Struthio camelus: one gene and its partners. The protein of the gene in region 4 purifies or fractionates together with the protein of the main gene of each other region. This does not show direct contact. Links are inferred from orthologs where the notes say so. Each region holds a gene or a part of one and is shown on either strand. Other genes may lie near its edges. The genes, in order: protein POLR1D, POLR3GL, POLR3B and POLR3F.

What was found.
Region 1: the proteins of POLR3F (region 4) and protein POLR1D purify together in Homo sapiens (affinity purification with mass spectrometry; 3 studies listed by BioGRID and IntAct, with this or other methods). This does not show direct contact. The link is inferred for Struthio camelus from reciprocal best matches to the Homo sapiens genes POLR3F and POLR1D.
Region 2: the proteins of POLR3F (region 4) and POLR3GL purify together in Homo sapiens (co-immunoprecipitation; 5 studies listed by BioGRID and IntAct, counting the BioPlex papers as one, with this or other methods). This does not show direct contact. The link is inferred for Struthio camelus from reciprocal best matches to the Homo sapiens genes POLR3F and POLR3GL.
Region 3: the proteins of POLR3F (region 4) and POLR3B fractionate together in Homo sapiens (co-fractionation; 4 studies listed by BioGRID and IntAct, with this or other methods). This does not show direct contact. The link is inferred for Struthio camelus from reciprocal best matches to the Homo sapiens genes POLR3F and POLR3B.

Annotation. Positions count from the first base shown.
Region 1 is NC_090942.1:200,709,611-200,717,325, reverse strand, and holds the start of protein POLR1D, read left to right. Parts: upstream 1-4,701; 5' UTR 4,702-4,798; coding exon 4,799-4,824; intron 4,825-7,715.
Region 2 is NC_090971.1:3,068,662-3,075,944, forward strand, and holds POLR3GL (DNA-directed RNA polymerase III subunit RPC7-like), read right to left. Parts: upstream 2,461-7,283; 5' UTR 2,410-2,460; coding exon 2,287-2,409; intron 2,190-2,286; exon of another isoform or gene 2,158-2,189; coding exon 2,028-2,157; intron 1,930-2,027; coding exon 1,861-1,929; intron 1,772-1,860; coding exon 1,715-1,771; intron 1,640-1,714; coding exon 1,566-1,639; intron 1,406-1,565; coding exon 1,295-1,405; intron 1,201-1,294; coding exon 1,114-1,200; 3' UTR 501-1,113; downstream 1-500. Other genes in the region: ANKRD34A (ankyrin repeat domain-containing protein 34A), read left to right, coding at 6,007-7,239. UniProt on the Homo sapiens protein: DNA-dependent RNA polymerase catalyzes the transcription of DNA into RNA using the four ribonucleoside triphosphates as substrates. Specific peripheric component of RNA polymerase III which synthesizes small RNAs, such as 5S rRNA and tRNAs.
Region 3 is NC_090942.1:61,794,738-61,802,245, reverse strand, and holds the start of POLR3B (DNA-directed RNA polymerase III subunit RPC2), read left to right. Parts: upstream 1-4,490; 5' UTR 4,491-5,430; coding exon 5,431-5,502; intron 5,503-6,565; coding exon 6,566-6,598; intron 6,599-7,508. UniProt on the Homo sapiens protein: Catalytic core component of RNA polymerase III (Pol III), a DNA-dependent RNA polymerase which synthesizes small non-coding RNAs using the four ribonucleoside triphosphates as substrates.
Region 4 is NC_090944.1:146,895,371-146,902,578, forward strand, and holds the start of POLR3F (DNA-directed RNA polymerase III subunit RPC6), read right to left. Parts: upstream 3,011-7,208; 5' UTR 2,964-3,010; coding exon 2,908-2,963; intron 2,598-2,907; coding exon 2,480-2,597; intron 395-2,479; coding exon 327-394; intron 1-326. Other genes in the region: DZANK1 (double zinc ribbon and ankyrin repeat-containing protein 1), read left to right, coding at 5,988-6,096, 6,754-6,907. UniProt on the Homo sapiens protein: DNA-dependent RNA polymerase catalyzes the transcription of DNA into RNA using the four ribonucleoside triphosphates as substrates.

The DNA of each region.
Region 1 (7,715 bases), on a different chromosome or scaffold from region 4:
GAGCAAAAAAAAACCCTGCTGCCCCATCATTCTTTCTCCTATATGTCAACTCAGAGCTAGGATGAACACCTAGTCTGAAAAGCAAAGAAACCCATAAAAAGATAAGAGTTTAGAATCCTCTGACACTAATATTTTTTGGCCTTTCAGAGCCAAAATTTTGAAAATAATATCGCATTAAGAGAGGGCTGTCTGTGGAGGTGAGTAACCCGGATTCAAACAAAAATTGTATGCAAAGAAAAAGAAATCTATGTGACCGGAGTACAACTAAAAGAGTTCGTAAAGGTTCCCATGGATAAGAATATTGACCTGAACGTTACTGCAGTCAGTAATAAGCAACTGTGCTTATCCTGATTATTTTCTAACCATAACAGTGATGTGCTGACAGATTCCACTGGGCTTGTGCAAGCTCTCAGGCGACAACTGTGAGAACACGAAATTGTGAGGTTATCTCGCGAAGGAAAAGCCTATAATACACTTGAAAATTACTCCTACTGTAAAGAATTTATCAGTGCAAAAGTAGGTAGCTCGCGACTCATTTTTTCCCCAGCGTGCTGAAGAGTTTTTGACACCGCCACACTGTCCCAGGAAACCTACTCCAAAAGCCCTGCTTTGCCTTTACACAACTACTGTTTTTCTCCTCTTTCCCAACTACAGCTTTGTCCTCCTTTAACGCACACCACTTACACTCATGATTCACTCCTAGAAGCATTTTGGTAGGAACAAGGCAAATAATTCATATTACCTCTTCCTTCAATGCTATGGAACTGTTTATAACTACCTTTTACAATATTTTAAAACAGTATCTGTTCATATATTGGATATATTCCTCAGTGAAACTGAATTTTGCTCTACAGCCAAAGGTTCTACGTATAAATTATGTATACTCCATTAACTAATACTTAAGCATTAGCAGTTCTCTGCAATGAGATGTAATAACACATTCTTCTCTATGGCCCAAAGCAAATCAACTCTACCTTCCTGCAGACTGTCAGGTGAAAATTAACTTATAAATAATATTAATCTAGCACATTCATAACCTCACAATTCCGTTATTACCTGATTTGGTCTGTTTTGCTGGGATAACAGCAAGAAAATTCTAGACAGTCTTAAACTACCACAAATACAGAGCAACAATACAATTTGCTTACTTAAAAACGAGGCTGAAAACATTGTATCTTGCAGTATCTTAGCGCAATTTTTTTTTTAATTAAAATACTTTCTACTGATTAGATGGAAAAATTTCAGAATCATAAAACGGAACTTAAAATCTTGCCTAAAATCTTAAAACTTCAAAAGTTACCCGATTTTACAGCAAACAACTGCATCCTTACACAGCCTTTTGTTTTTACCATATAATGCACTAGCTCACTATCAGAGAGGCTCAGATTAGAAACCTCCCCTCTCTTCCCAGCCCAAATTCCAAAACAGAAACTGTCCTAAGCTATTTGTGAAACTAACATTCATTCAAATAAACATCTAAGAGAATGCAAAGGGTTGTCACCTAATCAAATTCAGATGATCAAAAACACTTCCAAAAATGAGAGAGATGTCTGTACCACTACAATGCACAAGTATGAAGTCAGCTCCTCTACAGTACTCCTACCATCTGTAAGGGAAGGAGACCCATGGCACGGTTGGGAGTTTCTCGTTACATGTCCATTGGTTAGCCAGCCCTCACTGCCAAGCCAGAAGTCATCTACCTATACGAAGTCATGCAAAAGATGAAAACAGTCAGGACGAAAATGGGACAGGTTTATCCCCCAAACTTTGCAAACATAAATCCTCAAGACATTCACGCACAGGCTGAACATCAAGCCCAAGAATAGACCCACCATATTCCACAAGAAAAACTTGAACTTTCAGAATTAAACATACGCATGAATGCCTACAGAATTGAGGCCATAAAAAGCAGAGACTACAATGTTATTGTCTTTTATTGCTCTCTAGACACCGTGACCTAACAATTACATAATTAAATAATGACACGTAAAAGGGTTTTCATCCTTAAAAGGCACTATGATTTCTAAACAAAAAAACTCCATTGACCTAATAAAGCAATTTAGAAGCATGCAATTCAACGGTGTCACATTAAATTGCTTTTCCAAACTAAATCAACAAAGAATTTTCAAATATCAAAGACAAACCACTGACTAGACCAAACAGATTTCCAGTGTCCTCTGGTGCCTCCATACACCAGGAAGCATTTTCATTCTGAATAAAGGTTGTTTTCTTATTACAGCTCTTAATATCTAATAGCTTTTTAAACAAGCAGCATCTTGCTGATTTATGAAATTAATGTATACTATTCCAGTGTCTAAACTACATCATATCCTTACACATTTCTTTTTTAGAGTGATATTGTAAGCCTCACTTCTGCTTCACGGTGGCTTTAAGTGGCTGTATTTAAAGCATTTATTAAGAGAAGGATAGGATTGAAAAAAAAGTCTAGCAGGGGAATATTCTGAAGTATTTTCAAGTAGACAGTTTTAACTGGAAGCTAACAAACTTCTGCTGTTTTTTAGTGATGCTGGTCCAGAAACGTATAGTGAGACTCACAGGCTGTTCAGTTCAGGCAAAGCCTTATGACAAAACAAAGTTTCACTAAGGTCATCAAGGCTTTTATGTGAGTCGGCTCCACACACACGCAAAAGCTTGCAATGTCAAAGCCAATATTTTTCTAATTATATATGATAGGCTTCAGTAGGCTTATTTTTTAAATTAACCTAACTGTTCAAGAGAACAAAACTTTTCCACCTAGTCACCAGCTTGCACTCCTCTTGCAAAGTTTCATTCCTAAATTGCAGCTTCATGTTTGAACAAATTTTAAAAAAAGGTTAAAGACCTGGGTTAGGAAATCATGTTGTTTGTGCAAGCCTCAGACCCGAGTCCAAGGCCCTGGGCTATCTGTCGCTGAAGTCAGTAGGGTAGGAATTTGTTATAGAAAACTCGGATCTAAAAATCAATGTGTAGGAGGTTTTTTTGTGTTTACTGAGATTTTAGAATTTTAATAACACAGAAGCTTAAAAATCAGAAATGTCATAAACTTTTATGTAAAAAGATTCCCACTGGACAAAAGGGCGTTCTTTGCAGTTTCCCGAACTCGGGGTTTATCGTTCTGCAGCGCTGCGTTTAAGGAAGAGAAGACTCCTCACTCAGTGAGCTTCAAAAAGTAAATGCTAGAAGGGCCCTATTAAGCCTTACGGTCCCAGACAGTATGCTTAAATACCTTGTTTCCACCCTGAGGAAATCTGTTTTAATAAAAGTCACGGCGGCATATGGCAGTACTAAGGTGGTTATTTTCCGAGCGGGCAGGGACACTAACTGAAACCATCTGATGTTTCTTCCTAAGCCTCCTTGATCTGCTGCTGGATCGCAGCTTAGAATAAAACATCACGAGGCCACAAGGAATTGGGTAGCGGAGTAGAAATCGGTCGGTCCAGCTGTTTATTTAATAAGAGCCTAGCTCAGAGCAGCTTCTCTTTTGAACAAAGAAGCTCAAACGCTTCTATGATTTATTTCCAGAGGGGGATCAACGACACCCCAAAGCCAGCGCGTAACAGAAACTCCTACTTTGTACGCGAGCGCGAAAGAAAACCCACAACATCGTGTAATTAAAAAAGGAATTAGATGGGGCCCAGCAGTACTTAACCGCGGATTTCTGGCGCAGTGCACAACCAGACGGGCTGTGCATCAGAAACGCGGCAGGCGGAGCCGCAGGGGGCTGCCGTCCCCGTCCCCGTCCCCGTCCCGCCGCCGCCGCTCCCCCACCTCGCCGCCGCCTCAGCGCTGCCACCTGCTTCGCCAGCCGCGACGGTTTTTTCAACGCGACAGACGCGACCTGAACGAACACCGGCCCCGGCCCGCCCGCCCCAGACTTGTTGCGCCACGAGGCAGGCCCGGCCCGAGCAGGCCCGGCCCCGCTGCCGCCTCCGGCCACCGCCCCTCAGCGGCCGCCCAGCCGGGCAGGGAAGTTACTCACCGCCGCCGGCTCCCGCCGCCGCCGCCGCCCCTCAGAGCGGCGCCGCGCTCGCCTCCATGCCGGGCGCGCAGAGCCCTCGGGGCCGGGGCCGGCCCAGCCCGCCCCGCCCCGCCTGGCCCAGCCGCGTCCCCGCCGCGCCGGTGCCGGTGCCCCCGCCCCGCCGCGCCGCGCCGCGCCTCGCCGGCGGCAGCCCCGGGCGCGGGGGCGCCGCAGCCTATGGGAGCGGGCGGGGCGGGCCGCGCCGCAGCCCCGGGGTGGCCCCGCCGCTCGCCTGATCGGCGGCGGCGGCGCGGGCGGAGGGTGAGGGGCCCCCGCGGGCAGCAGCGCCGCGGCGCGGGGGGCGGTGTCGTGCCCCGGCGCACCCCCGCCGCCGCTGCCCCAGCCGCCGCTGCCGGCGCTGGGCGAGGAGCCCCCAAGCCCGCTCTTAGCCCGTCCCCGGCCCCCGCTCGCCTTAGCGGAAAGCGAGCGCGGACAGCCCCGGTCGCCCCGTCCCGCCAGGACTGGCGCCAGAGTTGCTTCCCGAGCCCGCCCGCCCGCAGCAACTGGGCGGGGGGCGCTGAAGGAAACGGCCCCTCTCGGGCGGGGGCAGGCGCCCGCGGCAGCCGGCGGGGAGGGGCAGCGGCGCCGGGGCCGGGGCCGGGCCGGGGCGCGGCGGGCGGGCGGGCGGCAGGTGCGGAGGGGGGAGGGGGGAGGCGGCCGCCGGCCGGCACCGCCCCGGCTCCTCCCCCGCGGGGTCCTCGGCCGCCCCGCCCCGCCCCCGCCGGCCGCCAGCGGGACATGGCGGCGGCCTGCGCCTGAGCGGCGGCCGCGGGCCGCGCCATGGAGGAGGACCCGGAGCTGGAGAGGTGAGCGGGGGGCGGCGGGCTGCGCCACCGGGCCTCGCTGGGCCGCGGCGGCGGCGGCGGGAGGAGGAGGAGGAGGAGGAGGAGGAGGAGGAGGAGGAGGTGGTGCCGGCCGCGACCCGGCGGCCTGTGAGCCGCGGGGGGCCGGGGAGGCCGCGCGGGGTGGGCGGTGCGCGGCGGCCGGCTTCCTCCCTCGGCCTCTTCGGGACGGAGCTTTGAACCCTCCCCTCGGGCGCTGCTGTGCGAAATAAATGAATTTTAAATGAATTTTTTTCCGGCGTAATGTGAAAATATATACGTGTATCATTGCTTGAAAAGAAAAAAGTCAAATCTCCTCGCAATGCTGCTGGTACTGTTCAGGAAGAAGATTTAAAAGCATTAGCTGGCTCGTCTCTCATTAATTGGAAGTCAGCAATTAGCCTCACTTGCTAAAATCAAAAAAAAATAAAAAAAACACACAGTTAAACTTGTACTCTAGTCGGTTTTGGTTCTCAGCGTTAGAGATTTGCCAGCTGACCAGCTGTTAAAATGACCCGTTTCTTGTATTATGGCAAAATGTTTGCGGTCGTTTTGTCAAAAAAGGAACGTGCTCCGTGCCTTGCGGTTTGGCGTGGATGAGCCGATGTGTTTTGCTGCGCGTGCTGAGCTGTGGTTGAGCTGTGGTGTTCCCAAGCAAACATTGCGGACTGAAACGCACGTTTCTCTCTCCGAATATTCAGTCCTCGCAGGCGTGCCTTACTCCTGCTTTACTCTAAGTATTTACAGCACAGGTAGATCTTTTCTTTTGATAATCATGCTATTTCTTGCAGGTTTGTCTAGAAGAAATGATTAACGTGGTGGGTTTTTGACATGGTTCCTTGAGCTTCGCTCCACTTTTCTAACAGGCAGAAAACTTAGGGGACAGCGATGACTAGAGGCTTTCTGAACCGTTCTTCTCGTGATTCTTCTCCTTGACTTTAAGAGTCGGTAGAAAATAACTTGTTTCTCTCGCTGTTTATATTTAGCAAGTATTTTAAATAGGACAAATGTAATAGTGTTGGCGTGGTGGAAGGCATAGAGAGCACAAAGCTTTTTAAGAGGCCTTTAATTCTTGTACGCTACCTCCCCTTTCACATCATCAGTACAGAAATTCAAGTTTCTTTCTAAATATGCAGGAATGTTATTTTTATGACTGCTGTTCCAAATTTATGCCCCCCTTTTTAATCATATCAAATCTAAACTTTGTCACAGCTCCTTCCACGTTCTGTCTCTCTTCTGGCCGCTGCTGACGTGCCGGGGACTTGTGGTTCTCCAGGCAGTTTGGGGCGTAGCTGCGAGAGATTGCTCCAGAGTCTCTTTCTGACGCTCTCCTTTCCACCAGCCAAATTTGCCTCTTATTTCAAGCTGATGCTGAATATACTATTCCTGTTTCATGGCAGTAAGGTAGATAGTGAGGAGGAAACTGTGTATTATTTGCCAGAGGAGGCACAGAAGGGTTTAACTGTCCTGCACCTTGAATCCATGCTACATGTTTAATCAGCTCCTTGCATATTATATATACAGTATAGTGAACTTATTGGTTACTGTTTTCTATCTTGGATCTGTCTTACACTTCTTCATTAGCTAATTACTTTTTCATGCTCTCAGTATTCAAAAAAGCTCTTTTTGTTAGTAGCACCCTTAATTCAGTTCACACTGTGTGCATTTAAATGTCGTATTTGAGCATTTCCCATCACACTTCTCCATACAGTCCCCAAGAGTCTAGTGTTGACCTCTCTTTATCCTTTGGCTTACAGACATGACTCGTTAGTCTCATATCCAGCTACCTGGTGATCATACTCACGTTATGTCAGATGTACAGCTATGGCAGTTAGCTTTCGTAATTTTTGGCCCTTTAAAATATTGCTTTGGCCTACGAATAATGGCATTTTTCTTCTGCAGCCACAGCATAAATATTTTAGGTAGATTTTTGATGTTTCAAAAACGTTTTTATTTGGAATATTTTTCATCGTATTTATCTCAGTTTAGTCTTATCTCAGTGCACGAGTCTTCAATAACAGTGTAAGACTTTTTGTATGTGTGGTTTTAGTTAATGTAGCATAAAAAAAAGTTTGTAACTACTTTAATGCAGGTTCTTTCAGGCCTAAAGTGCATTTTGTCAGGTTTCCAAACAGCGATTTATTGAGAGGAGTCAGTTGTCCCAGTTTTTTGTGACCATCTAAAGAGAAGTCTCTCTGTTCTGCTTGTTCGGTGTTGCTTCTATTTTTCCATTTTACAGTGTCTGGCTCTCGCTTGATCTTGTGTTTGATGTTTTTCTCGCTTTGATAGAAAGTGGTAGTCACTACCAAAGCTGATGCTAAGTTGTGTTACCATGTGACTGTTGCGTACCCTGGGATTTAAAACCCTAAAAGCTGTAAATACTTCAAGTGTGTAAAATGTTAAGCCACGTTCTATTAATATATAATTCAGAGTAAAATGTATATGATCCTAGAGGAAGTAGGAAAAAAGGTTACAAATCAGCTACTGAGAATTGTTTATCTTATATTTTCCCTATAAGCAGGTGTACTTACTTTTCCTACTTAATTCCTACTAAATGTCCTTTGGGGTATGATAGAGGTCACTATTTTCTTCCTTATCCAAACAATTCCCACCAGCTGTCTTCATGGGTCTGTGTGTTCAAAGCACAGAAAATACGTGGTTAATCTGGCAATATAAAGGAAGTGGCTTTGCTGTGCTGTGTGTCCAGATTCTTCCATAATCAATTTCGTCTCTCAACAGCTCTGGATATTTCACAACCTTTAGTATCATAGCCTCTTAGAATTGCCTGTCAAGCTTGCTTGGAGTATCATGTACTTGGAAATAAGCATCTCTTAAGGAGATAACGTTCTGTACACAAGAGCTGCATTGTGGACAAT
Region 2 (7,283 bases), on a different chromosome or scaffold from region 4:
ACCGGAGCCGCCTGCCCCAGTATAACCAGTGACCCCACACACCGGTGTGGTGGGGGCCGGGCGAGGGCAGGATCAGACCAGGGAAGGTGGAAGGGGCCAGCTGAGCCCTTCCCCTGCTCAAACCAGCGCCGCGAGCGGCCACCCCGCGCCGCTTTGCTCCGGCGCCGCTGGTTTTCGCGCCGGTGCCAGGCCGCTCCCCGCGCTGCCTTCCCACCAGGCTTACGCACGCTTTGGGTTTTTTCCTAGAAGCCGTTAAAAATAGCAATTCTTGGAGAGCGGCTTGCGGGGACGGGGGGGGGGGGTGGCACAAAGAGCCCCCTTCTCCCCGGGGAGGGGGGGGGGTCCCACCTCTACGTGCCCAGGGAGGGGACCAGCGCCAGGGAGCACTCAGGGACCCCCCTGTCCCAGTTGGGGCTGGGGACAAGCAGCAGCCCAGGAGTCCTGATCACCCCCCCCCCCCCCAAAATCCCCACTTGAGGCCACAGCACAAACGCAGCTCAAAAAGAGAGAAAACATCACTTTAATCCAATCCACTAAGGAAAAAAAAGAAAAAAAGACCCCCAAAGATTAAAAAGCAGCTACGAGAGCTGCAAGAGGCGCTTGCTTTCTGGGGAGGGCTCTTCGGCAGCCAGAGGAAACGCTGTGGCGCGATGGCGGCGGCGCCCTCGTCCTGCTGCGGGCACAAGCCCGGCAGCCCCCCCCCCCCCGGGGTCCCGCTACGCCCCCACCCCGGCGCCTTCCCCCCCCCCCCCCCAATATCAAGCTAAAAAACACTTCAAAAGTGACCTAAAAACACAGCAAAAAAAGGGCAAAGTTTGGTCCGAGCTGCGGGGAGGGCTGTGCGCCCACACCTTCGCTGCCCCCCTGAACCCCAGGATGGGGGTCCTGCCCTCGTCCGGCGCGGGGGCACCTCGGTGGTGACGCCGGGTGCAAGGTTTGGCGGGTGGGGGGGACCCAACCGTACGATGGGTGCGGCCGAGCGCCCGTGCCTGGAGCACAAGTGCCACCTGGAGGCAAAGGCGGGCTGGTCCTCAGCGCCGCTGGTGCACAGGGAGGGACGAAGGGCAGAGGAGGAGGCTGGTGACCGGCGGAGGGCCCAGGCGTCCGGGCCGCTCAGTAGACCGCTTCGTCCATGTTGTCGTCGCTGTCGGCGCCGAAGTCCTCGCCGTTGTCGAAGTAGGACATGATGTAGTCGGTCTCCTGGGGACGGGGAGCCGGTGGGCGACGGGGGCCTGAAGCGCATCCTCGGGGCGGGGGGAGGCACCCAGACCACCCCCAGCCCCCAGGATCTCACCTCTTCGTGCTCTTCCTCATCATACTCTTCCTCCTCCTCTTCTTTCCCTTCCTCCTCTTCTTCCTTCTCTTCCTCCTCTGACGTGACTTCCTCCTCTTTCTTCTCCAGGCTCTGGGCGCCGAGGGAAGGGAGACGCCGAGTTAGCGCGCGCCCGCGTTAACCGCGGGGACTCCCCGCCGCAGGGCGGAAAAAAAAAAGAAAAAAAAGAAAAGAGAGCCGCCCGCACGGGACAACCCCGGCGAAGGCCGGCCCGAGCCTTCGGCCTCCTTACCTCCAGCTTCTTAATGGTCTCCTCCTTGTCGAGCGCGAGCCGCTGCTTGCGCTTGGGGAGCAGGACGGCGGGCCCTGCGCGGGGCAGAGGAGGCGGGCGTCAAGAGCGCCCGGCGGCAGGACGCGGCCCGCGCCGCCCGCGATACTCACTGCCCTTGCGGAGCCGCCGCACCCGGATCTTCAGCTCCCGCGGCAGGCGCCTCCAATCTGCGCGGCAGAGCGGAGCGCCGGATGGGACGCCGGCTCCCCTCCGGCCCGCTCCCACGGCGTTTCTCCCTCCTCCCCATCCCGGCTACCTGGGCTCCAGTCGATGGCGCTGTCCACGGGGCTGGACACCTGGTACTTGTCCGAGTAGCGCTCGATGTCTGCGGGGTGGCGAGCGGGACCGTCGGCGGGGAGCCCCGCGGCGGCCCCAGCCCCGGGGTCACCTTTTCGGATACCCGCCGCCGCCCCGGCTCCGTACCTCGCCTCGGCGCCCCCGGCTTCACGAAGTAGGGCAGGTTCTTCATGGCGCCGCGCAGCTCCTGCTTGAGGGCCAGCATGTACTCGAGCTCCTCGCCGCCGGGCAGCGGCACCGGCCGGTACTCCATGGGCTGCGGGCGCAGGAGGGCCCTCAGCGCCACTGCTGCGATGAGCGCGGCAGGTCTCGGCCACCGCTACCTAGCGGGGAGGCGGGTGGGGGGGGGGGAGAGTAGGTGTCCCCCCCCTCCCCGTAGACTCACCGGGAAGAGCGGCGACGGCTGGAGGGTGGGCGGCGGCAGCGCGTCCCCCTTGGCGATGCCCACGGCCTCCACGTTGAAGGTCATCTGCCCGCGGCCCCGGCCCCGGCCGCCTCGGCCCGCCATGGTCGGTGCGGGGGGGCGCCGGGGCCCGGCGGCGGCGCTGCGAGGGGACAACGCTGCCGTGAGGGGGCGGGGGGGGGGCAACGGGGCGGGCACGGCGCGGAGACACACGGCGCTGCTCCCCCCCCCCCCCCCCCCGGTCCCGGTTCGGTCCCGCTCCCGGACACTCCCCCCCACCCCGGACCCGGCCGCACCTGCGCCGCGCATGCGCACGGGCGCTCCGCGCCGCGCCACGTGCGCCCCCCCCCGCTCTCGGGGCACACGGCGCGGAAGGGGCGGGGCTTGTGCGCGCCGCCGCACTTGGGCGCGGCGGGGCCAATGGGAGGGCGGGAGGGGGCGGGGTTTGGGAGAAGGGGCGTGGCCGGGGAGAAGGGGCGGGGCCGAGCGGCTGAATGGGGAGGTGGATAGAAGGCAGGGAGGGGTGGAAAGAGGAAAAGGCGGGTGGGAACCGCGGGAGAGGGGACGGGAGGGGCGAAGGGGGCAGGGAAGGGGCACCCGGGCGAGCGAGGGACCGAAGCGGGGACGGGGATGGAGGGATGCGGGCCCCGATGGGTGAGCGCTCCCCACCCCCTGCCCCACAGCGCCGCCCCACGGCCCCCAAGCCCGCTGCCCCACAGCCTCAGTGCCTCCACCCCGCTGCCCCATAACCCCTAGTGCTGCCACGCCATAGCCCCCTGCCTCATAGTACCCAGTGCTGCGGCCCTATGGTCCTCACCTCGCTGCCTCATCACCCCCAGCCCCGCTGCCCCATAACCCCCAGTGCTGCTGCCCCATAGCCCCCACCCCGCTGCCCCATAGCTCCTGGGCCTGCTGCTCCATAACCCCCAATGCTGCTGCCCCATAGCCCCCAGCCCCCTGCCCCATAACCCCCAGTGCTGCTACCCCATGGCCCTCAGCCCCACTGCCCCATAGCTCCTGGGCCTGCTGCTCCATAACCCCCAGTGCTGCTGCCCCATAGCCCCCAGCCCCCTGCCCCATAACCCCCAGTGCTGCTACCCCATAGCCCCCACCCCGCTGCCCCATAGCTCCTGGGCCTGCTGCTCCATAACCCCCAATGCTGCTGCCCCATAGCCCCCAGCCCCCTGCCCCATAACCCCCAGTGCTGCTGCCCCATGGCCCTCAGCCCCACTGCCCCATAGCCCCTGGGTCTGCTGCTCCTTAACCCCCAATGCTGCTGCCCCATAGCCCCCAGCCCCCTGCCCCATAATGCCCAGACCCACTGCCTCATAGCCCCCACCCTGCTGCCCTATAACCCCCAGCTCCACTGCTCTTTGGCTCCCACCCCACTGCCCCATAGCCCCAGCCCCACTGCCCATGTCCCTCAGCCCCGCGGTGTGGTGCTCCCCAGCCCCATGGTGTCATATCCCCCCAGCCCCACGGTGTCGCGTCCCCCAGCCCCATGGTGTCGCGTCCCCCAGCCCAACGGCGTCGTGTCCCCCAGCCCCATGGTGTCATATCCCCCAGCCCCACGGCGCAGTGCCCCCACGGCAGCTGCTCCCGCCGCCTCCCGCACAGGCTGCTCGGCGCAGCGGGTTCGGCGCTGCCACCGCCGCCGGGTGATTCATCCCCGTCCAGCCTCCCCGCGCGAGCGGCTGCCAAAAATAGCGACGGGGGAAGGGGGGAAAAACCCTCCAGCTAACCTCCCCTACCGACCCCCCCCCCCAGCCGGGATGGCGGCCACCGCGCCATGTCCCCGGCACCGGCACGGCCAGGGCACTGCGCACCGGGACGCCGGAGCATCGCGCTGGTAACGGGGGTGATGGAGGAAGGCAGCGGGGAGGGAGGGCTGGGGAGACCCGCATGGGGCAGCCCCCGCGGAGGGCAGGGCCCCCCCCCACCCCAGAGCTCGGTCCCCCCTTGGAGCCGGCAGCCCCCCCAGCACCCAGTGGGGCTCGGATGCAGCCGGGGCTTTGCCGGGGGCTGCTGTAACCCAGGCTTGCAAATTGGGGTGGAAAAGGTGGGGGGGTTGGCTCTTTTCCCCCCATTTTTCTGGCTGCCCAGAGAGCCGGAGGAGCAGGATGAGCTGCAGTAACCATGGGAACCAGGCAGGCAGGGATGCAGGGAGATGTATAGAGGGATGGGGGTACGCGGGGCTATGGGGGATGCACCCAGGGATGGGGGTATGTGGGGAGGCGGGGGATGCACCCAGGGATGGGGGTACACGGGGAGGCGGAGGATGCACCCAGGGATGGGGGTGCACAGGGAGGTGAGGGATGCACCCAGGGATGGGGGTGCACGGGGAGGTGGAGGATGCACCCAGGGATGGGGGTACACGGGGAGGTGGAGGATGCACCCAGGGATGGGGGTACACAGGGAGGTGGAGAATGCACCCAGGGATGGGGGTACTTGGGGCTGTGGGGGATGCACCCAGGGATGGGGGTGCACGGGGAGGTGGAGGATGCACCCAGGGATGGGGGTACTTGGGGCTGTGGGGGATGCACCCAGGGATGGGGGTGCACGGGGAGGTGGAGGATGCACCCAGGGATGGGGGTACTTGGGGCTGTGGGGGATGCACCCAGGGATGGGGGTGCACAGGGAGGCGGAGGATGCACCCAGGGATGGGGGATACAGGCGGGGGACAGGGGATGCCGGGGGCACCAGCAGGGGACCCGGGGCACCGCGCAGGCAGGGCGTTCAGCCACAGGCAGTGGCAGAGAAGCCCTGGCGCCTGGGGTGCTGCAGGCTGGGCTGTGACCGCTGGCCAGTCCGACAGGGGCATCCGCAGGGGTCGCCCCCTCGTGAGAGCCCGTCGGTGCCCGTCAGTGCCATCAGTTCGACCGCGGCTGCGAGGGCAGCGGGGGGCGGGGGGGGGGCGGGCAAGAATTGCAGCTGGGGAAACTGAGGCAGGGAGCCAGGGCTGCCTGCCAGGAGGGAGCTCTGGGAGCAGCGCATCCGTGCAACGCGGTCCCCCTCTCCACGTCCTATTGCAATGTGTGCGCCGTGCTCTGGGTTCACCAAACCCCTGCACCATCCCCTTTCTGTGTCCCGTTGCAGAGAGGGTGCAGTGCTGCACGATGAGCACATCCATGCGACGTCCCCTCTCCGCGCCCCATTGCAGGATCACCATATCCATGTGACATTGCCTTTCCATGTCCCGTTGCAGTGAGCGTGCAATGCTCTGGGATCGCCACATCCCTGACCCGTCCCCTTTCCGTGTCCCGTTGCAACGTGTGTGCGATGCTCTGGGATCTCCATATCCGTGCAACGTCCCCTTTCTGTCCCCCATTGCAGTGCCCGTGCAATGCTCCGAGATCGCCGTATCTGTGCACCATCCCCTTTCTGTGTCCCGTTGCAGAGAGGGTGCAGTGCTGCACGATGAGCACATCCATGCGACGTCCCCTCTCCGTGCCCCATTGCAGGATCACCATATCCATGTGACATTGCCTTTCCATGTCCCGTTGCAGTGAGCGTGCAATGCTCCGAGATCGCCGCGTCGCCGCCACCTCCCCTGGCCGCGTCCCGCCGCAGTGAGCGCCCGATGCTCCGGGCTGAGCCCCTCCGCGCCCCGTCCGCTCCCCGCCGCCCGGCTCCGTGAGCGTGCCATGCGCCGGGCTCAGCCCGCCCAGGCGCCGCCGCCCGTCGGGGGGCCGTGAGCCGGCCATGCCGAGCCCCCCGCGTCGCCCGGCCGGCCCGGCCGTGCTGCCGGCGGACGGCTCGGCCCTGCTGCGGGCCGTGACGCAGGGCAAATTTCGCTTGACCCGGCTGCTGCTGGAAGGCGGCGCCTACATCAACGAGGGCAACGCGGCCGGGCAGACGCCGCTGATGGCCGCCTGCCGGGCCCGCTACGCCGACCCGCTGGCGCAGCCCCGCATGGTGCGCTACCTGCTGGAGCGCGGCGCCGACCCCGACATCGCCGACAAGACGGGCAAGACGGCGCTGATGCACGCTTGCGCCGAGCGGGCCGGGCCGGCCGTGGCGGCCGCCCTGCTGGCCCACGGCGCCGACCCCAGCGCCCGCGACTACGCCGGCGCCTCCGCCCTCGTCTACGCCCTCAACCGGGGCGACCGCGAGACGCTGCAGGCGCTGCTCGACGCCTGCCGGGCGCGGGGCAAGGAGGTGATCATCATCACCACCGCCACGTCGCCCCGCGGCACCAAGACCACGCGGCAGTACCTGAACGCGCCGCCCTCGCCGGCGCCCTGCGCCTCGCCCTCGGACGTCGAGGTGCGCGCCGCGCCGTCGCCGGCCGCCGACGGGGAGGAGGAGCGGGACGTCTTCCGCTTCCCGCCGCCGGCCGCCGCCCCGCCGCCGGCCCGGGCCCGCGGGCGACCGCTCAAACGCCTCAACTCGGAGCCGTGGGGGCTGGCGGCGCCCGAGCAGCGCCTGGCCGCCGGCCTCGAGGCGCTCAGCGTGGGCCCGCGCCGGCGGCACAGCGTCGAGGGCCGCGAAGCCGCGGGACTCGCCGCTCAACCGGCGGCGCCTTGGGCCGAACCGACCGGCGGCTCCCGGCCGGTCACAACGGAGCCCGAGGGACGTCTCCGGTTGGAGACGTCGGAGGTCGGACGCGTCCCGCCGGCCGCCGGCGACGCGGTCGCTTCTCCTCCGCCCGGCCGCCGGCGCTCGCCGGGCTTGCTGGAGCGTCGCGGCTCTGGCACCTTCCTGCTCGAGCCGGCCGGGCACAGCCGAGCCGGCTTCTTGCCGCCGCTGCTCACCGGTCCCCATCCGCCCGGCGGCGTCGAGAGCCGGGTCGGGGCCCCGGCGTCCTCGCCCGCCCGCCGCGGCTCGCCCAAGGGCCGCCGCAAGCTGCTCCGGCGTCACTCCATGCAGACGGAGCAGATGCGGCAGCTCGCCACCTTCCAGAGCGCCCTGGCCCAGGGCCAGCCGGGCAGCTAGGGCGCCGCGCCGGCACCCCCAACCCCGGCCCGGACGCCTGGGTC
Region 3 (7,508 bases), on a different chromosome or scaffold from region 4:
CCCGTCAGTCTTTATAATAGAGACACTGTGACCTGATTTCCCTACTATGAATAACCCACTCCAGTGACTATGAATGAGGGGGACAGGTCTTGTAAAAATGTATACAGATAGCTTCTGAAATCCACTGGAAAAAAATTAATTTCAAGTACATATGTATTTTTTTAATAGACTAAGTCTGTCTAATGGATTGTGTCACTTGCAATAGCCAGTAAAATATTAGCTTCCAAGACAAGCATTTACAATGACTCGTGAGGGGAAGAGCTGGCAAAGTACTTGCTGTTTTGCCACCATTAAAACATAATCAGTTTTTTTAACTTAATATATTTTACATATACTGATGCAATTATGACATGACAAAATAATTCTAGATAAAATTTCCTATATATATTTAGGACAGCATCTAATAAAACAATTCTCTCTTCAAAAAAGACTTTGAAGCAAAAAGTATAGTAATAACTGCTTTCGTAACCAAGGACAGGTCCATATTTGGCCAAGTTCTAGTACTCCTGCAGTTACTGGAATGAGAATTTAGCCTATGTTACATTAAGGAATGCCAGTATTATTAGAAGCTGTTTTGAATATAGCAGTTACAGAAGAGCTCACTGTTTAAAGTAGGAACCATTCAGAACTTGTCAATTGTAATTGAGGGATTAATGAAAAACTCCTAAGGTTAAAAAAAAAAAAAAGATCATGGGGAGGGAAAAAAGTCTGTCTATAATGTCTATAAGCATTTTGTTTATCCAATGGAGGTCATACACAAAGCTCAAAGTCTAATATGTTATATGCTGATCCTTGATCTTATTTGGGCATTAAGTATTTCTGAGTTAGGGCTTTCAGACCTTTGTTCTTACAGGCACTTGACTTTGAGAATAATGTCACTGAGTGCAGCAGAGCAATTTCCCCTTCTGTAGTCTGTTCGATGAAGGCATAAGTTTTTTACAGAGTATTTTTGGTACTCTCGGTTCTGAATGCAAGAACTCAAGTTGTTAATTGTTCTCGAAAATCTAAGTACTGTAAGTGATTAGCTTGACTTTCATTGGGCCTCTGTGGGAAATACTTCAGCTTTTCCCCAAATTACTTTGGAATAGGCCTTGATACTTGGTTCCCATTTAAGACTACAGGAGTTTTGCATACAGAGAATGAGTAAGTTTGATATGGAGAAGTATATGTAAACTTTCGGATGTTTACTTCCATACTAGATTTTGCATATATCAGACTACTGGGAATAGATAGTGTTGGAATACTCTAGTATGGATGCATTCTTGTCTATGAAAATTGAAAAAGTTACTTGAAAATGATGTTTTAATATATTATCATACAATAGTCCTTTTTAAATGTCAAATATATAAAGTCCATGTGGTACAAGTTAAACAGCTTGTTTTTAATATTTTATATTACAGTCTATTTTTATTAAGAAACAAATTTACCCATAAAAGCTTAATGTGCCACACAAATTGTGTATATATACATTTATTATGTCTATCATAAAGGTCTAAAGTGGGCATTATTAGCACTGTGGTTTTGTAGTCCCTTTTTACAGGATTATGTACCCCTTTTTATTAAGGGAAATGACTTCTAGTCACTTGTTGCTCAGAATGTCCAAGGCCTTTGGCCACATGTATATGGTATGAAAAACTTTCTTCAAAATATGTTGTTACCAAAAAAAAAGCTCTAGTGCACTTCTGTTCTATCCCTTGTATAAAAAAAAATTGCACAAAATAAAGATAAATAAGTATTTTAAAGGGAACTGTGTTTCTTGAAGCCTGAAAAACCTGAGAGAGGAAGGAACTCCTAGAACAGACCAATTGTGCCACTATGTAACATGGGTTTGTTCAGATGAGTATGGAATTTTGACAAGGAATTCAAAATCATCAAGAGAAGAATTCATTTCAAAAGCAATTAAGAATCAAATCTTAGTGATCCTGCAACATCTTGGGACATAGCTAAACTATTTTGAACCTTAGGCTAAAAGATGATTTTATGAACATTTGAAGAACACTTATAAATTTATATCATAATACTTTATATGCATTCTAGTGCAAAATAAGCTGTGTGACGATTGGCTTTTAATGTAAATTGGCATACTAGTTTTTACGAGAAAATACTTGGAAAGAGGATTTTGGTTTTTTTGGGGGGGGGGTAATTAAGGTGACTTGCAAAGGGCATTTAATAGCATGGCCAATGTTTCCACTGATTGTTTAATGTATTTTAATTTTTATTTAATGTTTCAAACCCAGACACTGTGTCTGTTTAATGTCGTGTTGCATGCTATTTACGCTAACATGGCTGAAATGCATGTGCCTCAACTCTGAAATTGTCTTTGATAAACAAGATGCTATTTTGTAGCAGCTTTCTTTGTTAAAATATAAATACTTGTGAGGTTTTGTATGCATTAAACTTTGTTTGTGATACAATTGTGGTGAAAAGTCATTTATGCAAGCTGTTTCTTAAACATAACGGATGTTAAATGCCAGATATAAATGACTGCACAAATGTTGTGGCTCGCTCTTTCCCTGCAACTCTTCAGTTGCAGCTGAAGTGTAGAATAGCTTTAAGCTAGTTGCACAAATAAGGTTTTGAACAGCCTCTTGCTTAAATCTGACTCCTTGTCCAAAGACAGTTTGTGTATTTAATCATAGCTGTACTGTTAAGCATGATTAAATAGATTAGAGTCTTCAAACTGGAAAAGGTTTGACAGTTGAAGCAGAAAGGAGTTTGATAGGTCTACAAATGGTGAGTGGCAATAAAGTGAAGAGCAAATAGTTGCCGTTTCTTAAGATGCAAGAGCAAGACCATCAAAGAAAAATAGTGGTTTGTGTCATTTCACAGCAATGTTTAGATAACCTGTGGAACACCTTGCCTAGAATCTGGGGCTATTAAAAGTTTTGTTTTAATGATCAGAGGATTAGACAAATAACTAAAAATCATTGATGGATTTTATTTTTTTCCCCCCTAAAAGGGACCAAACTTTTCAAACAAAGCAGGTTGTTCCTGCTTTGCTAACCACTGGAGTGTTAGGAAGAACATTGGAACTATGCATACTTCTGTCTAGGCTGGTGGTGGGGGGTGGTGGTCATGAGAGAGCTAGAGCTTGCCTGTTCTTTGAAATGGTTTCACCGCTGTTCCTCTTCCCCCTTAGAAAGAGTAGCTCTGCTAGTTTTGCAGTGCATGATCATCACTGCAGAACATAATGCTGCCTTTCAGCTTTTTTGTATCTAGGTCTTTAAGTCATTATTCAGTGTATGAATTGATTTAAAAAAAAAAAAAACAAAACTGCTAGTTTGTAATTTCAGAGTACACATACAACTAGCACCAAGTGCTAGAGGTGAGAGTAGAAGAGACTACCTATTTTGAGGAGTAGCTATAGGTACAATTTTGCATCAAATTAAAAAGCTAAACCTAGGAATTGTTTGGAGAAAGGCTGGATACTTTAAAAAAAATTATCACATTCAAAATGATGCTTAATGAAGCAAATTCAATATAATAAGCCACTTACTCATGTAATCTCTAGAAACTTTTATGGGATCCTTGAACCTCTAGTAGGATTCCAAAAGGATTTAGAAACTTCTGAAAGAATGAGTATTCAAAAAGTAGTGCTAATGCAAGGAGGAAGAGGGAGTGGTCAGATGAATGTGAGGCAATCATTTGCCTGCAAGAGCAGTCTTAGTAAAATTAAATGTTCTTAAGGTGGTAGTTCAGTTTGACTTTCAACAGTGTACTGTTCTAGATTCAGCCTTAACGCTTAATTATAGACTATTGCCAAATTCAGAAAGACCCAACTTCTCTGTAACTGGGAGTAAATGTTTTCAGAGTGTCTTGGCTCTGAAAACCCCTCGGATTTCAAGGCAGCTCAGCCTTTTGGACTACAGAAGCCACATGCCTCTGTCCCCTGGCAGCTGATGGCTGCATATTGCTGCTCTTTTCTTTGCATCATGCAGAATAACTGTGTACAATTCATTCAGTCCTGAAGCGCCTGGTGTACTGCCTGTGTCTGGATCAAATGTGCTGTGGACGTGCACAGATCTGATGCTTCTTGAAATTTTAGTGTCCATAAAATAACGACAGCTACTCCATCATATCTGTTTTTGTTAACTGGTTCACATTTTGACCTTTGGCAGTCCCTGATTTTTAACCCGGCTGAACGATTTATAGTAGCCCCCAGATAAAAGTCATACTAAACAGGAATACGTGACAAGGACGTAGCACTGAATTTTCAGATTTGTAAAGGCAGAAAAAAGGGCTTTTTTTTTTCTTGATCAGTCATGCAGTAGGAACAAACGTTTTGGAGTGAGCTCCTAGACGGAAGCTTGCGCTGTATAAAAGAGCTCTTAGCTGTTCTGTTGCTGAAAACAACATTCTGTCTTTATATATAACAAAAAGAGGGGCTGAAGACCTTATTTTTCTAAACCGAGGGCCCGTTGCAGTTAGTTAAGAAGAAACTCTTAATCCCCTGACTCCCAATTTATTCTGGTTTTCCATTATGGCAGAAAACATGATCTCTGGTCACCTAACAGACCTGAGAGCGAGGCAGTGGGTCGTTGGACAGAAACAGTATGTTCCCTAACCAGTTTCTTGGTGAGTATAGCTAGTTAAATGGAAGACCTTGTATAATTTTTCACAATTGAAACATTAAAAAAAAAAAAAAAACACCTCTCCAGGCTTGAATTTGACATTGAATGGAACATGAACCTGCAACCAGTCCCACCTGTTGCTCTTCTCATGCTTAAATGGAAGCTGAGCCTTCATTTCCAGGATGGGTGAAGCCCACACCAACCTCCCGGAGCTTTAATTATATAGAATCTAAACCAGATCTGAGTTTAAAAAAAAGATGGTAGTTTTCAGTTTCTTCTTTTAAAAGGTACTTGTGTCAAAGGGATGGGCAAGTATTCTGCGTGTTCTACATTTTGCAGCTAAGAATTTCATATGGCTGAAGTGCAACTCCCGCACGCACTCGAGTTTTTGGGTTCAGCAGTGCTATGGGTTTTCAGTTCCCCACGCGGGTCACCTTAAAAATGTTGATTAAAAACCAAGACCTGGGGTTGGGGAGGCACAAATTCTATTTCTGGCTTTGCCTTATATTTCTTCTACTTGGGAAGATCACGATGGCCTATCCCAAAAGGCAGGCCATGAAGCGGAGCCGGCGGCCGCGGGGCTGGTGACGCCCAGCCCTGGGCCGCGCCGCCCCAACGGCTGCTCCGTCACGCGCCGGCCGACGTGGGGGTGGGGGTGGGGAGGGGAGCACGGCTAACGGCTCTACCCGCCGGAGCCGCACGCGCTCAGCCCCCACCCCGGGCGCCCTGAAGCCCGGAACCTTTCCGCAGCTGCGCCCGTTCCCGCAGGGGTGGGGAGGGGGTGCGTTTTGCTGCTGCACCGCCGGTCCCTCGCGGGGAGCGTCCGCTGGCTCCGCCGTGGCCTCTGCGCCGGGCTGGCATGGAGGCGCTGGCAGCGGAGCTGGGGAGCCTGACTGCCGAGCAGGCGGCGGCTCCTGTGAATACGGTGGAGGTTAGCGGCGGCCCCAGCCGGGGAGCACAGTCCTGGGGGGGCGGTCGGGGGGCAGCAGAGCCCCACGGATCCCCCCTCCCCGGCCGGTTGGGGGGAGGGGGAAGGCGCGTCGGCCCCACCGGCTGGCGGTGGGGAGGGGCCCGAGGCGCGCATGCGCGGGGGCTCCGGCCCCCTGCGCTGGGGGGGGAAGGAGCGGAGGGGGCTACGGCGCATGCGCAGGGGGCGCTCTGCCACGCGTGAAGTGGGGTTCCGTGGCTTCGTCCGTGCGCTGCCCGTTTCGCTCGGAATTTCTGTAGCTGCCCAGTGCCTCCTGCGGGGGGCAGCGCCAGGGCACTGCCGCAGCAGCAGCGCGCCGTGCTGGCTGTACTCGAGAGAAACCAAAATGAGGGAGGGGGCCGGTGTGCTCTTGGGGCCAGGGCCGTGCTGTGTGCTCCCTGCCCCCTTCCCCCCCGCCCCCCCGCCCCGGAGCTGGCGGGGCCTCTCTCGGCCGGCAAGCGATGCTGCTGCTGGTCCCTGAAGGGTAGAAGTGGGTTAAAGCCAGTGGGAACCTTTCTGTGCGTTTACTTGCCAGTATTTTGCTCAGGCAGTTTGGCTAAATCTTTGTAGGAGTTGGGATGCTGACAGGGTGTACGGATACCCCTGTCTGCCTGCGTCACCCCTTAGAATGAGATTTTGCATGTGTTTTGTAGAGTCCAAATGGGAGCTAGGCTTCCTTTGCCCAAAAGATGCTCTAAAGCGTTAAAAGGACAAAAAGGTTGGTGTTCTTAAACTGGGGCATAGTATTATGGAGTTTTCCAGGAAATGCACATTCTTACATAACCTGTTTTTAGAAAAAATGGCGTCCCTTTGTGCTTAGAGTAAAAATTGCGTAGAACGTATGGCTCGCTAAAGTGTTCTGAGTCGTGTTTTGTTTTTACTCAAGGAGATTGGCTTTGGGCAGTCTTTTTTTCTAAAAAGATCTGATTTTAAAACTGTTATTGTTTAAAACAAAACAAAAACCTCAAGATTCTTAAATGTTTGTTTTCTCTTTGGAAAGCCACTTCAAACTGTTTTTTGGTTTTAGGAAAAATGGAGACTTCTTCCAGCATTTCTAAAGGTTAGTGTTATGCACTCATTTCATGGCATGAACATTCAATCTCCTTTCTAACTTTACATTCCCCTGTTCTACCTTTTACTATTTCCCAGAATAGCTGCCCACCCTCCCTCTCGGCTTTGCAATTCTTTTTTGTTCCCTGCTTCCGTGGAATTGGGGATAAGGTTGATACATGATTTAGTTTCTTGATGAATAAGATTAATTTGAGGAGGCATCCTTGGCCTCCTCAAGTTGGCATTTTTTATATGGTGATTCTGAATGAACAGTGTATATGGTATAATGTTTTCAGATAATTTTACTGTCTCAGTGGCACCCAGAGACCCTATTCATGGTCTTTGCATAAGCTCAATGTAAACACTGAGTAGGTAGTTATGTTTGTCGTAGCAAGTATGCAACTGCAGACCTGGATTCTGCCAAGGCTTGAATATATGTACACCTTTATTCATGAATGTCAGAGCTTGACTGAACTCAGAGGTTAAGGTTGTGTTGATTTCAGTGCTACCTCTGCAGTCTGGCCCTAGCTGAAGACACAGTTCTATTTACAAATGCAATTAGATGTAGTAACAGGAGTAAAAAACAGTTGGAAGTGAGAAGGGAGAAAGACAGTAATGATATTGTATCATAAAGATGGCAGGTAAAGTCTGTGATGTGCACAGGTACTTTCAGGAAATTGCAGCCACCTCTGCGTGCATGTCATCCATCCTTTGAAATGTTACCTGCTTCAGCAAGGCTCTCTTCAGCCTAATTTTGTGAATTCCCTTCCTTCCCAGTGTAATATCCGTGCACCCCTCTTTCTGTTACACGGTCCAGTATTTCATCTTTGCAGGAAAACAAAATTCAGAGTTCACTTATGGACTGTGTATGCCTTTTCACTGTGGTTCAGGGCTGTGAAGATATTTTTGGGCCCTAATGA
Region 4 (7,208 bases):
AGAACCACCGTTTGCAGACTGTACTTCAACTGGATTTCACTTGAGCATACGCCTTTGTTTGCAAAGATCACATTGCCAGATCAGGAACTCTGCTAGCAAGTGAGAGCTCTAGCTCCATAGTAACCTCTGTTCAGTAGAAAGCATTATACCTAAAACAGTTTTCAGGATCAGCTCAGGGCAATTAAGTATACCCTTCTGGAATGAGCAATTACATTCTGTAACAGCCATCATCCCAGTGAAGACTTCTCAGAGCGTCTTCTCAGCAGTGCGGCACGTGAAGTACAGAATTGTGCGCCAAACATTTATCCAACAAATATGAGGCTTACCTTGCATTTTGAGACTCTTTGATCCTATATAGGAGACCGGCATTGCTCCTGAGCAGGTCCAGTTGTCCCTAGGAGAGACAGGCACACATTATTTTCCTTCAAATATCTTGTTTCAGAATATGGCAAGAATCTTCTAAACCATTTCTAAAGTATAAAGCCTTATTTAATGTCAACTGCGTGAAGAAAGGGAAAACTAACATTTCCAACCACTAGAAACAATACACTCCGGGGTGTTTTTTCCTGCAACTATCCATTTATCCTCAGCTATTAGAAATAATAAATACAGTTCCAGCCTCTTCCCACCTCTATGCGCTTGCTAGCTTTCGCCACTGCACAAAGGACATCAAGCTCTCGTATGCCTTTTTCTTGCTTTCCACCGAAACGCTCATTTCTATGGCAATCCAGAAATCAAGTTAGAGCTCTAATGAACAATAGATTTGAAAAATTCTGATTTCCAGTAACAAAGTTCTTTCTTTAGTTAAAAAAAAAAAAAAAACCACCAATGGGAAACTGCCAGTCAGGACTGCCAATAACTCTCAGAGACAAATTACTGGCATCTCTCACACACAAGGTGTATCCTATCCTGGACTTCTGACTGAGCCAAGTAATTTCTTACTTCCTGTTTTGAAGAAAGAGGCAAGCAATTAGACAAGCCCAAGAACATAAATGCATATAATAGCATTAGCTTAATATTCACTCCTTCATTGCTAGCTAATCCATTCCTCATAGGTAACAGCCTTATTTCTTATAGATTTGCATTATGTGGTTGATTGGAGCTCACACCTCAACATGATCCCACTCGATGCTTTTCCATAGGTAAAGCGCTTATGTCTTATCTCATGTGAAGTCCCTGATGCTTATGAAGGCTTAGCACTCACTGCTGTTCTTCCCATGCTTAAGGTACTTACTGGATCTCTCCCCACACTCCCAAGGTGTCTATTTTAAATAAGTTCTAGAGACTTAACTATCATTGAAACCTCCCTGTGAAACATGGCCAACCCATTAAAAAGTGGTTGAATACAAGCTCTTATCTACTGTGCTTATAAACCTCGTATCTATAAGCAGAAAGATGAAAGAGAGAGAGATTAGTTCCAGCACCATGCACTTTTTCTTCCAGTTAAAGAAGTTTTGCTTATGAAAAGAAACAAAACAGAACAAAAAAACCCAACCCCACACCAAACAAACAAACCCAAAAAGAAACTTGCTCAGTTCGGATACTTTCTACCACCCCTCTTTCCCAGGGTACAAGCGCCCCTCCTTTCGCTGACACACGCCACCGCAATAGCATCAGATACTGCTTTTCTTTCGCTACAGTGCTTTCCATTGCACCACCCAGTCTCCATGTGCGTATGAAACAGCTATCAAAGGAACTGAACGGAATCCTGATCTTTAAGACCTTGAACACTTAGCTGATATTCAAGTTTATGCCACGTAGAACCAAGACTCAACAGCTTCTATCTATTCCTGAACATGTGGCAGAAGTAGTTGGCTGTGATCCTCACTCTTATCTTAAGCTGGGTCCTGATAAAATAAAGGGAAATGCATAGTGAGATGTAGGAAACTTCTAGGAGTTACAAAAACTCCTTGAGGTGTTTCACCTGCTTATTTGTCATCAGAGTAATCCACAATCCTGCAATTTTGTGAGGGGCTTGGTGAAGGGCTTCACATATAACAGCACAGGCCAATATCCATTCTTTCCTTTCTAGCTAATTCTTTCCCCACCATTAACAGGGCTTTGTCATTATCACCCATGTCTGCTTGTCTTATCACCTGCTGAGCCACTGCTGCTACACCTGCACTCAGGACTCTCATATTACACTACTGTATCACATTCTGCTTTGCATACAAACTGATACACAGGGGAAAGACCACAGAACTCTAGACACATCTACTCTTGAGAAAAATATTAAAAACAAATGCGGAACTTCTCAGTGGTAGCCTCTTAAACCTAGAAATCCATGTGAATATGCACATCCATGTTAATCTTGTATTACAGAGTGGAAACTATTAAGTTTTGAGGCATGTTTTAATTGGTTATGGCAACCTTTGAGCACATCACTAAATCCAAAGAAAACTTGCTAGCCCTGCCCGACGGGTTTCTACCATGCAGCCTATGTGTATGCAGAGCGCACTGGAAGCCAAGATGGCCCTACCATTGAGAGCAGCCTGTTGATTGCCATGGCTCGCTGCTGGGCTTCCATGTGAGGCATGTCATTTTGGATCACCTGGTCTGTGATGCCGTGGGGGAACTGATGGCACAGTTCAATGATCCTGGGGGAGGAGAAAGGCAAATTTTCAACCAGGCCCCGCTGCAGCGGCAACCAAAGGCGCAAAGTTACTGCAACCACGACGGAAGAGAAGGGAAAAGAACAGAGTTTTCCCGAGGACTGGGAAAGGCAACGGGGGGGGGAGGGGGGGGGAGCTGAGGCAACCTGACGCCATCCCTCGTTGTGCCCCTGCGCCAGCACGACACGCGCGGTGTCCCCAGGCAAGGACCAGCCCCCTGGGCCTCGGGCGCCGCCGCCGCCCCACCCACCCGCGACGCGACGCTCCCCGCCGGCGGGCCGGGCCCAGGGCGCACCTATTCTCTATGTCCACCGGGTCGGGGACCTCCGGCTTCACCTTCACCTCCGCCATGGCGGCACCGCCGGGTCGCGGCGCGCGGCGATGACGCCGGAGCGGCGCGCCGCAGTGAGGCGCCGGTCGCCAGGCAACGGGACGCGGGCCAATCGGCGGCGGCGGGGGTAGGGGAGAGGGCGAGGGGCGCGGCCGGGCTCGCGGCGTCTGTGGTAACGGGCGCGAGGAGGGACGAGGGGGTCGAGCGGGTGCGCGGGGCGGTATAGCGGGGATCGAGGGGGAGGGCAGGGCGGTATAGAGGGGATCGAGGGGGAGGGCGGTGTAGCGGGGATCGAGGGGGTGCGCGGGGCGGTATAGCGGGGATCGAGGGGGAGGGCGGTATAGCGGGGATCGAGGGGGAGGGCGGTATAGCGGGGATCGAGCGGGTGCGCGGGGCGGTATAGCGGGGATCGAGGGGGAGGGCGGTATAGCGGGGATCGAGGGGGGAGGGCGGTATAGCGGGGATCGAGCGGGTGCGCGGGGCGGTATAGCGGGGATCGAGGGGGAGGGCGGTATAGCGGGGATCGAGGGGGGAGGGCGGTATAGCGGGGATCGAGCGGGTGCGCGGGGCGGTATAGCGGGGATCGAGCGGGGAGAGCGGTATAGTGGGGATCGAGGGGGAGGGCGGTATAGTGGGGATCGAGGGGGAGGGCAGGGCGGTACAGAGGGGATCGAGGGGGAGGGCAGGGTAGTATAGCGGGGATCGAGTGGGGAGGGCAGGGCAGTATAGAGGGGATCGAGGGGGAGGGCAGGGCGGTATAGAGGGGATCGAGGGGGAGGGCGGTATAGCGGGGATCGAGCGGGGAGGGCGGTATAGCGGGGATCGAGGGGGAGGGCGGTATAGCGGGGATCGAGGGGGAGGGCAGGGCGGTATAGCGGGGATCGAGGGGGAGGGCGGTATAGCGGGGATCGAGGGGGAGGGCAGGGCGGTACAGAGGGGATCGAGGGGGAGGGCAGGGTAGTATAGAGGGGACCGAGTGGGGAGGGCAGGGCGGTATAGAGGGGATCTGCTGGGAGGGCGGTATAGCGGGGATCGAGTGGGGAGGGCAGGGCGGTATAGAGGGGATCTGCTGGGAGGGCGGTATAGAGGGGATCAAGTAGGGAGGGCAGGGCGGTATAGCAGGGATCGAGTGGGAGGGCAGGGCGGTACAGAGGGGATCGAGGGGGTGCGCGGGGCGGTATAGAGGGGATCGAGTGGGGAGGGCAGGGCGGTATAGCAGGGATCGAGCGGGTACATGGGGCGGTACAGAGGGGATCGAGCGGGGAGGGCAGGGCAGTATAGAGGAGATCGGCTGGGAGGGCAGGGCAGTATAGAGGGGATCGAGTGGGGAGGGCAGGGCGGTATAGAGGGGATCTGCTGGGAGGGCGGTATAGAGGGGATCGAGTAGGGAGGGAAGGGCGGTATAGAGGGGATCGAGTAGGGAGGGAAGGGCGGTATAGCGGGGTTCGAGTGGGAGGGCAGGGCGGTACAGAGGGGATCGAGTGGGGAGGGCAGGGCGGTATAGAGGGGATCGAGTGGGGAGGGCAGGGCGGTATAGCAGGGATCGAGCGGGTACGCGGGGCGGTACAGAGGGGATCGAGCGGGAGGGCAGGGCGGTATAGTGGGGATCTGCTGGGAGTGCAGTGACTATAGGCTATACAGGGGGAATGAAGGGGAGGTGGGGAGGCTGTATAGCAGGGATGGAGGGGGAGGGCAGGGCTGTGGGATGCAATGGAGCTGGGTGGGCAGGGGCTGCCGAGCACGGACCGAGTGGGGTGGGCAGGGCTGCGTAGTGGGGATCCAGTGGGGTGGGCAGGGCTGCGTAGTGAAAGGAGGGAACGCGGGGCCCGGCACACGGCGGGGTGCAGCAAGGGGCTGTGCTGTGCTGGAGCGGGGTCCGGAGCCCCGTCACGGTGCGATGCCCATGGGAACTCACTCTTTATCCCACCCATCGTGGGCTGCCACAGGCTTGAAACAGGGCGCTTTGCTTCTGGTCTAGGTGTGGCAAGAGCAGTCAGGTACTCGGAGAAAATTAGTGTCTGCCCCCTCGTGTCAGGTAAAGAGCGGATCCATGCATCATCCTTTCACCTGTGCCACAGCATGCGGCCCAACGGCTTGGCTGAGAACTGCCCACACTCATTACACCAGCCGTTACAGGCAGTGCAGCCGAGGTGATGGGCAGCTGCAGATAGCACTTTGGCTTATCTCAGTGTAGCCCCTGTGAGCCCATAGATCCGTGAACTCCTTCTGTACTCAGTCATTACTATCTACGTTGATGAGTTAGTGTTAGAGACGTTGCGGGAGGACTGAACGGCCAGTTACAAAACGAAATGCTTCCAGTGTAGACATGTTTTCTGGCAGTGAATATCAATTCCCATGACCTGCAGTACATCCTTTTTGTATTCTAAAACGCTGTCGTATCCAAACGTAACTTTTCATTCTTGAATTCAGTGACATAAAGGCTATGATAAATCATGTATGGCACCTGCTTGATAGGTATATGCTTAAAGTATACCACAGGTGAGGCAAGCTTGAGGAATAGCTGTCTTGTTTTAGTCCTTTTCGGGACATCTTGCATCTCACTGACATACATTTGGATGGCCACAATGAAACAAGGGACTGGTTCCTCCTGTAGAGAAAATGACACCATATCTCAGTGATGAGGGTGAAGATGCTTCACAGTTATTCTCTCCTGGCATGGTATAAGATATATGATGCTAAAGCTGTTTCACCTGAGTAAGTGGCCCTCAAATTCAAGCAGAGAAGGCCAAACTGAAATAAAAGCAACAGTGCTCATCTCAAGCCCTATTCATAGCCCTGTAATAGGACAATAGGTCGAAAGTTTGATGGGTCTATAGCATCTTATTCTTTTTCAGTGTGAAAACCTTAGAAATATTGATGAGAACTAGTATTTCAAGGAATTCAGTGTTCTTTCTTTCAAGGAAACAAACCAGGATGAGGAATCTCTTTAAAATGCAACATTTCTCACTGCATTCTTGTGTTATGAAAAATAATTGTCTGCTTTTTTGTTTTTCGTTCTTTTTTAAAGATCCTTGCTGAGAAAAATGACAGCGGGTTCTGTCTTAGTTCCTCAGGTCATACCTCTTCGAATCCCTCTTCCAGGGAAGGCTAAACATGAAATAGACACAAATACTCTTGTAGAAATAAAGTCAGGTATAAATAACACTTTTGACTCTGTGTAAAACTTTTCCTTATGTGATCATTTGAAACTCTTAGCCTCTATATTTTTGTTTACATTTAATTATGATTTTTGTGAGTTTCCACTTCCTTAAGTAACTCACAAAATTAACCTAGATGTTTTGAAACTGCAAATATATACACTTAACTTTTAGCATTCAAGCAATATTATTGTCATAATATATGAGTTCATACCTGTTCGCAGTTTTAATTGCTTCCGAGATCAAGCTCTTAAGTTGTTGTATTTTGCTGTGACTGCAAAACCAGGACTTGAAAATATGATGTGCCTGGCTCACTCAGAAAGTGTTCCTTACGGTTTTTGAAATTCCATCTTTCATCATGGGAGAAATTATTTTTTCTGTCTTTAGAACAGACAAGTTGTTGCATTGTTTTCATACAAAACCAGTGTATGACTACTTTATGAAAAGAAATATTGCTTGTAATGACATTTTGTTTGTTTAGTCACCAGCATTTCATGGGAGAAATAGTTTTGGTCCTGAACTTTCAATCATTTACTCCTTGATTTTGTTTATGTGAGAAAAATCAAACATAGGAGTGAGTATTTCCAGGTGTAGAGCTTATTTTGCCCAGCTCTAATATAATTTGGATAATAACTTTCTCCGTGTCTTTCAGATACACCTGCAGTCACTATTTATTACACTTTAGACGGAAGTAAGCCAGAACTCATTAGGAAACCCAGCTATGGAGAGCATAATACTTTTGAGTATAAGCAACCTATCATGTTACCAGTTGGGAAAATAATGGTCAAGGCATTGGCAGTTACAAAGTAGGTATCTTGTTTTATTTTAGTAGTACTGGGGCAAGGACTGGACATCCCAGTCATGGCGTGGAGCTGTGTTTTTCTAAGCATTCTGTACCTGGGGAATGAGGGGCAGCTCTTGCCCCAGCCGGTTTTCAGTCTAAGTGATCTTCCTGGATTCCTTTCACTGTGTTCACTTTCTCATAGCACTTTTTAATCATTAAGTGTTTGTGGAGCTGGATTATCTCTACAATGTTTTCTCCTGGGCCTTGGCTGAAGGCCAATGATCCATGAAGGCTGTGGGTGAGGGGCTGGTAAAATACACTGT